Rattus norvegicus: one gene and its partner. The protein of the gene in region 1 purifies or fractionates together with the protein of each later gene. This does not show direct contact. Links are inferred from orthologs where the notes say so. Each region holds a gene or a part of one and is shown on either strand. Other genes may lie near its edges. The genes, in order: Casp9 and Dcc.

Evidence for each region.
Region 2: the proteins of Casp9 (region 1) and Dcc purify together in Homo sapiens (co-immunoprecipitation; 3 studies listed by BioGRID and IntAct, with this or other methods). This does not show direct contact. The link is inferred for Rattus norvegicus from reciprocal best matches to the Homo sapiens genes CASP9 and DCC.

The regions. Positions count from the first base shown.
Region 1 is NC_086023.1:159,390,651-159,394,569, forward strand, and holds the start of Casp9 (caspase-9), read left to right. Parts: upstream 1-1,423; 5' UTR 1,424-1,463; coding exon 1,464-1,595; intron 1,596-3,687; coding exon 3,688-3,919. UniProt on the Homo sapiens protein: Involved in the activation cascade of caspases responsible for apoptosis execution. Binding of caspase-9 to Apaf-1 leads to activation of the protease which then cleaves and activates effector caspases caspase-3 (CASP3) or caspase-7 (CASP7).
Region 2 is NC_086036.1:67,845,375-67,849,193, reverse strand, and holds part of Dcc (netrin receptor DCC precursor), read left to right. Parts: intron 1-437; coding exon 438-758; intron 759-3,819. UniProt on the Homo sapiens protein: Receptor for netrin required for axon guidance. Mediates axon attraction of neuronal growth cones in the developing nervous system upon ligand binding. Its association with UNC5 proteins may trigger signaling for axon repulsion.

The DNA of each region.
Region 1 (3,919 bases):
TTTTGACATATTCCATGGTGGATTCTTGGCTAAGGGTCTATCCCAGTTCGGGTTTGAATCTCAGATGCCTCTGTTGGGGGTCAAGCTGTGAGATCCCTAACACATGTCCACAGCTGTCAGCAAGGAATAACTATTATCGGGAATATGTCAGGGATAATAACATGGCTAGCTGGGACAACACCGTAAGTGGCTAGCACGATGCTCAATTATTTTTTAAAAATGATTTATTTACTTAATGTATATAGGAATCTTCATGCACACCAAAAGAGGGAATCACCTTCCATTATAGATGGCTGTGAGCCACCATGTGGTTGCTGGGATATGAATTCAGGACCTCTGGAAGAGCAGCCAGTGCTCTTAACCACTGAACCATCTCTCCAGCCTTGTTCAGTTACTTTTTAAGTCGTGGAAATGAGTGGTACAAAACTGAGAGAACAGAGGACTAGATTCCTGGCAGTTTCTATGTGGGAGGTGCTGAGGAGGGAAAGAGAAGAGAGCGAGATGGAAGTCTGTGGGCTTAGTTTGCTGAGGCAGGATAGCCTGAAAAAGCAGGAGGCGAGGTTTTACTAGCCGCAACGGAGGAGGGCGTTAGAAGAAAGCCACAGCCCGCAAAGGACTTGAAAGACGTCTAGACATGGTTTCTTCCTTTTCCTCTCGCGACCCTTTGAGCATCTGTAGAAATAGGGTCACCAGTGAACTTTGTTAGAACAATCGCTGCTAAGCGGAACCAGCAAATGGGCGGAAGGTAGCAAGGCAAACCTGGGGTTTGGAACCCTAGGGGCGCCCTGGGGGAGAGTGTGGGAGGAGAAGGCCGCATGGAAAGTCACGTGGGTCGCATGGGGGGCGGAGCAACGTTACGTTTGGCCGCTGTTAGAGGCGGGCGAGAGCTGGGCGAGGGAGGGGCGTGAGGAGAGAGCGCTGCAGGGAAAGAGGTGGGGTGAGGCCTGAGTGCCGGACTAGGAGAGAGTTGGAATAGCAAGATGGGGGCGGGTCCTGGAGGCGGGGACAAAGGCAAAAGCAGAGAAGGGGGCGGGCCACGGGGCGGAGCGAAGGAACTCCATAGGGCCGGAGTGCTGGTCTATGAGGCAAGGAAGAGCGAGTCTTATATGAGGCGTGTGACGGGGCGGGGCTTGCGTGCAGCGCCAGCAGGCGGAACGAAGCAAGGACATCTTGGGGCGTGGCGAAGGGGCGTGGCCTGAGAGCGCGGGGGGTGGGGGTGGGGGGAAGGGGGGACGTGGGGGGAGTGAGAGAGGTGGGAGGACTGGTGAAGCGGTGACGGGGCCTTCGGAGCTGAGGTGGCTGCGGAGGTGGAGCCGAGTGAGCTTGAGGGACCGGCCTTGGGGCGGTGACCACTGGTCGGAGCGTGATCCCTAGAGGAGCTATGTGGGGGCGGGGCGTGGGTGCCGGGGCGGGACCCGAGGCCCGGAAGCGGACGGAACCAGGGGTCCAGCAATCCGCTAGCCATGGAGGAGGCTGACCGGCAACTCCTGCGGCGATGCAGGGTACGCCTTGTGCGCGAACTGCAAGTCGCGGAGCTGTGGGACGCTCTGCTGAGTCGTGAGCTCTTCACGCGCGACATGATCGAGGATATTCAGGTGCTCCCCCGCTCCCTTGTGTCCGCCGCTTTTCCCACGGCGCCGGTAGGGACTGGGAGGTCGCAGAGAGGTTCACTGAAGCCACCGCTACGGAGCTCCCGCCCTTTTCTCCCGCTTTGCACGGTGTGCAACCCAGGCCCTGGGAAACCATGGTGTGGGAACTCCATTTTTAAAACCTTCCACAATCCAGCTCTTTTAATCCTTCAGAAGAACCCAAGCACCTCTTTTGTGGAGTGCTCGCTAATGCCACTGTAACCCACACCTTGTTAGTAGTTTAGCCTCTCTGTAGAAGGGTCCTAAACACCCACTTTAGGTTTATACTGGCTCATTGTACTTGTCACTTGCCGTCTTTGAGCCTCAGTTTCCTGGGCTGTGAAATGCAACGGTGTCATCCTGTTCTAGGATGAATGAGATAACCAAGGTGAAGCACTTCTGTGGGGCCACAGCCCCAGGACCCATGTCTTTTTTTTTAGCTGGGCTTTTATCCAAGTGCATGCTTTATAAAGGATTTCAGAAAAGACGGACATTGATACAGGTACCACCGAAGAATACAATCAAACATTTGATTTTTAAAAAAAATACATTTGAGCTTCTTTGCTCCAGTTGATGCCTCACTGCAAGTCTGAAAAGGGAATATTTCTTTTTGAGAGGATATGAGTGTCAGGCCCTGGGGAACTGTCTAGAAAGCTGTCTCCAGCATCTGGATTGGAACCTAGTCTGGTCTAGTGAAGGAAAATAGAAGAAAGTGGTGTAGAGTCATGGGGTTAACTACCAGATAATAACAAAAGTAGTCTCAGGAACACTTTCGGAGGGGCCCATGCTGGCCAAGGAAAGTGGTTTGAAGGGAAAGCCCTAGTCTTCCAGAAGGCATATTAAGGAGGATCAGAAGCCGAACTGTGCAGGGAGGCACCAGCGGCCTCTGTCGTATTTCCTTCTCCAGCTAAGTGTGGTCAGAGCAGTGTCCGACCTAGTGTTGGCAGTGGCAGGCTGTTTGAAAGGAATGGTTTGTTCCTCTGGAATCCCAGCCCTCAGGAGGTAGAGGCAGGAGGATCAGGTGTTGGAGGGGATCCTTGGCTACATACAGAGTTTGAGATCGAGTCTCTGGAAACCAAAACCAAGGGCTGGAGAGCTGCCTCAGTTGTTAAGAGCTTTGATTTCAGTTTTCAGCACCCACATGGTGGCTCACAACTATAACTGTAGTCCCTGGGATCTGACACACTCTTCTGGCCTCCTTGGGCACCAGGCACACACAGTTGGCACATATACATCTAGATACACACACATATACCTACCTACCTACCTACATACATACATACATAGTAAATGTTTAAAAGCAAAACCAAAGCAAGAAGCTAGACATACAGTTTATTTGGTACAGTGCATGTCTAGTATTCGTGAATCCCTGAGTCTAACCCCTAGCCCTATAAAACCAGGCCTGGTGACTCTGGAGTCAGGAGAGGCAGAAGTTCAAAGGTCATCCTCAGCTATGAAGGAACTTGAAGGCCAATCTTGGCTACTTGAGAACTTTTCCTTCCCCCACACAAATATGAAAGTCCCCCCCCCCCAACAGAAACTTCTTTTCCTCCAAAAACAGAGATGTTGGAGATCTTGAATTCTACATTTAATTCTCTTATTTTAATGTTAGGAACAAGTTTAGAAAGTTTGAAGTACCTCGTCCAAACTACTGACCACCATTTTGCTACTTTTAGTAGGGCTAATTAGCACTTAGCACAGAGCTGGACAAACACACAGTAGGTGTCATTGACAAGCAAAGACTGCAGAGGGACATGAACTCAGTACACTGCTAGATTAGTTTCTGTCTATCTACCACAGGCATATTAAGGGGGATCAAAAGCCAAACTGCGCGGGGAGGCACCAGCAGCCTCTGTCCTTCTCCAGCTAAGTGTGGTCAGAGCAGTGTCGGACCTAGTATTGGGAATGGCAGACTGTTTGAAAGGAGAGACTTGTTCCAGGGGTGGTGGTACATACCTGCAGTCCCGGCACTCACAAGGTAGAGGCTAGGTGAGAAGCGGGAGGTAGGGTGACTGTAGATGTCACTGGATAATGAGTGTCTGGTTTTCTATCCAAACAGCGGGCAGGCTCTGGGTCTCGGCGGGATCAGGCCAGGCAGCTGGTCATAGATCTTGAGACTCGAGGGAGGCAGGCCCTTCCTCGCTTCATCTCCTGCTTAGAGGACACAGGCCAAGGCTCTCTGGCTTCATTCTTGCAAAGCAGTGGGCAAGCAGCCAAGCAGGATCCAGAAGCTGTTACACCCCTAGACCACCTGGTGCCTGTGGTCCTGGGACCAATGGGACTCAAATCAA
Region 2 (3,819 bases), on another chromosome or scaffold:
CAGTGTACTAATAAATACTATACTAAAATGCAGATAATGAGCTTAATCAAGTCCATGATATCTTAGCTATCACACTATTGACTGGTCAGACTTAAAATCTTCCAGTTTTATGTGGCAAATACTAATTACGGCTGTCTAAATTTTTCAAGTAATGAATGATGTAATAATATTCTTATCTATAGCTTATGAATTGTTACCTTTCCTAGTAATATTTTTGTGGCTAATTGCTTCATTAATCGGTGTTCACATAAGAATTTGTCTTATGTCTAACACAGAATCCCTGCTCTTAAATTTATCTATAATTAGAGGAAAAAACAAAACAAAACAAAAAAAAAACAAAACTGCTTTTCGAAAAATAAGACTTGTGATGAAATGTTGTAGAAATTGCGACTTCTCAGACTGCATGAATTTAGCTCCCTTCTCCTCTCTCCTTCCAGGTTTCCAAATTAAACCTTTCACGTCACTTCATTTTGTGTCTGAACCTTCTGATGCTGTCACAATGCGGGGAGGAAACGTCCTGCTCAACTGCTCTGCAGAGTCTGACCGCGGAGTCCCAGTCATCAAGTGGAAGAAAGATGGCCTTATCCTGGCCTTGGGAATGGATGACAGAAAGCAGCAACTTCCTAATGGGTCTCTGTTGATACAAAACATACTTCATTCCAGACACCATAAACCGGATGAAGGACTTTACCAATGCGAGGCATCCTTAGGAGACTCTGGCTCAATTATTAGTCGGACAGCAAAAGTTATGGTAGCAGGTATGTAGATATTTTCTTCTCTCCCACTTCTTTTATCTCTTAGATCCTTAGTAGGCATGAGAGATAATCCTTGTAAAAGCAGTGCGCATTTTGAAACTTAACTTTTTTAATTACAACAGTTACAATCTATAAGCTGAAATATGGTCATTCACAATTATATCAAGCTAAGTTTGCATACATTTTTGAGTAGTGAGAATATTTGAAATAACTCTTTGAGCAATGGCAAGGAACACATTACAATTATAAGTATGGTCACTATGCTGAATCATCAGTCTAGAATATATATGTTTTATTTTTTCAAATTGATACTCTGTACAGCTGTAACCCTCGGCCCCCATTCATACCTCACCCTTCTAATCCATGAAGCCTCTCCTGGTTATCATTCTGTGAGCTCAATAATTTAGATTCCACGGGTAAGTAAAAATATGCAGTATTTCTCTTTTTGTAACTTATTTTCCTTAACATAATATGTCCCAGGCTCAACAAGTTGTCTAAAGTAACAGCATTCTTCCTTTCTTTGGGTTGATGCAGTTCCATTGTTGATGTATCTCACGTCTGCTGATGGCCATGAAGGATAATTCTAAATGGGCACTGTAGCTACTCCTACAGGAAGCATGAGGTTACAGTCATCCGCTTGTCTCACTAACTTCATCCATAGGTGGTAACAAACCTGGTGACATTCTTCTTGTGCTGCATCTGTTTTTAGTTTTCTGAATAACATCCATGATGTCACATATAAGGTTTTCTACCAACAATGCCCATTTGTACGTGAACTAAATGAAGATTAAAGGACTGGTATCACAAGGTCTTCTTCTTTTTTTTAACTAATTTTTCTTTTTCAATTAACATGGAAAGCCGGCAGGTGCAGCTCAGCAGTGTGCATAGCTACATGTAATCTGCTTTCACAGCATAGCTGACTCATATGGACTCACTGCTTACATGAACTGGTGGACATATTTTAGTAAGATTTTAGAAAAAAATATACCCTAATCAATTCTATTTTACAGACTCAGTAGTGTTAAACATTCATAAAATCAATGCTGTAAGCCCTGACAGCAGTACATTTTATTTTAATCAGTGTCTTAGTCTGTAATGTAGACCTCAAGTGAGAAATAAAAATGTCCCATTAGTACTTTCAAGTGTAGCTCCCTTATTGACATGTCCAGCTCAATGCCAAAGCATAAGGTGCACACTTTACCTTTCATCTATGAACCTTAAATATATATCTAAATTAAGTAAACAGGGCAGGGTGTTCTTCAGACCCAAACTGTTGCTGTGTCTGCCCCAACTTTTCAGTTTTTCTAAGCATTTCTGGTCGCCTGGGAAGTACTAGATCCATGTGGAGAGGTATCAGATCATTGTTCTTATTAGTGCCTATAATGACTTGATCACTTCTTTATCTCATCTATATTAGTGACTATAATGACGTGACTGTGATCTGGCATTTGAATAGGTAGTGACTCCAAAAGGGGGCATATAGTGAGCTAAAACATGCTTCCTGACCTGTGGGAATAGCAAGTCAATGGGGTGATCCCTGGAAGGAGCAATCAGGGAACCAAATACTGCTGACTCTCTTATCTCGGAAGAGCAGCTTCTAAAACTGTGAGGAAGAATTCCTATCATAAGCAGGTGACTCAATTTATGATATTTTGCTATAGCAAACTAACATAGGCTCATCCCTAACCAGTTCCCTCAGATTTTCCCTCCGCTGATGTGTTCTGCTGGCTAATCGGCTATGAGCAGAATAATGGCTAGTCATTCGGATTTGCCACAGAATGACCTGGGTTAGACATTTGTAAGTCCCATATTCTTGAAAACCTTTCAGCAGTCAGACAAAACTTTGTCCATCATACTGGAGGATAATACTGCCTTGTTTAGTAATGACACCTAAGACAGTGCTTCTCAACCTTCCTCCTGGTGCAAACCTTTAACACAGTAACCTTTAACACAGTTCCTCATGTTTTGGTGATCGCCAAAATTAATAACTGTAACATTGCTACTGTTATGAATTGTATTGCAAATATATAATTTGTGGGATAGATGATCTGAGACACCTGTGAAAAAGTCAGTCCACCCAGAAAGGGTTACGACCCAAAGATTGAGAACCACTATCCTAAAGAGACAGGTGAGAAGATAGCCTGATCATGAAGACCAAGGTGTAAGTTTCCTGGACCTGGTGAAGGATGAGCTTGTAGAATTTCATAGATGTATATAACTCATGGGGAGGATGTGAATTTAATCATAACTGTCATTAATTAAGAGGCTCAGGTGGGATCAGTCCTGAGAAATCCGGAAAGGTTTCATATCTGGGGATAGGGATATGCATGCACCTGGACTTTCGGCAGCTTGTATATTTCTGGACTCGTGAATATTTCCTATCAACTCTCCAAAGGCCAAAGCCCCTCTGATGGTAGGAATGAAACCGGCTGTCATCTTGATGCCCTTACAAAAAGCAACTTTCTCTATCCTGCTAATGAAAATGCCCTGAATGTTACAAGGTGTGTCTCCTGCAACCCAGGTTCAGTTTTATGTTTTCACTGTTTCAGTCGTGAAGTGAGGAACAATTCCTTCCCTGTGAGATATTAAAATAAAGTGGCTTTGACTTTAGTATTCTGTGGAAGTGTAGGCTCAGGGATGTAGTCATTGAGGTGCAGTCTAATATTAGATTGTATCATTTCGGTGCAATAAGGCTCTTCACAGCATTTTAAATACTTGCCATGCTGTTCAGCAACACAGAATACATCAATGTTATGTCTGCTAGGGTTACGATTGCCAAACCACTAGAATTCACAAGGGCCATATATCTTCCTTGCAATAAAGACCATAGTCCTGATCTGATCTTATTTTTAAAGCATTAGCAGTCAATAAACCAGTTACCACTAAAAGGTAAAAGTCAGCTTTGTCTGGGTAAGAAAAATAAAAACAAAACCAAAAAACCAAAAAGCAAAAACAAAACATAGCTCTTGCGTATACTCAGGTACAGTGTAAACGTCATGTCATACATTGTCCCTCTTCTGCTTTGACTCCCTCAAAGTGTTTGCTTTGTTGTTTTGTCTTGATT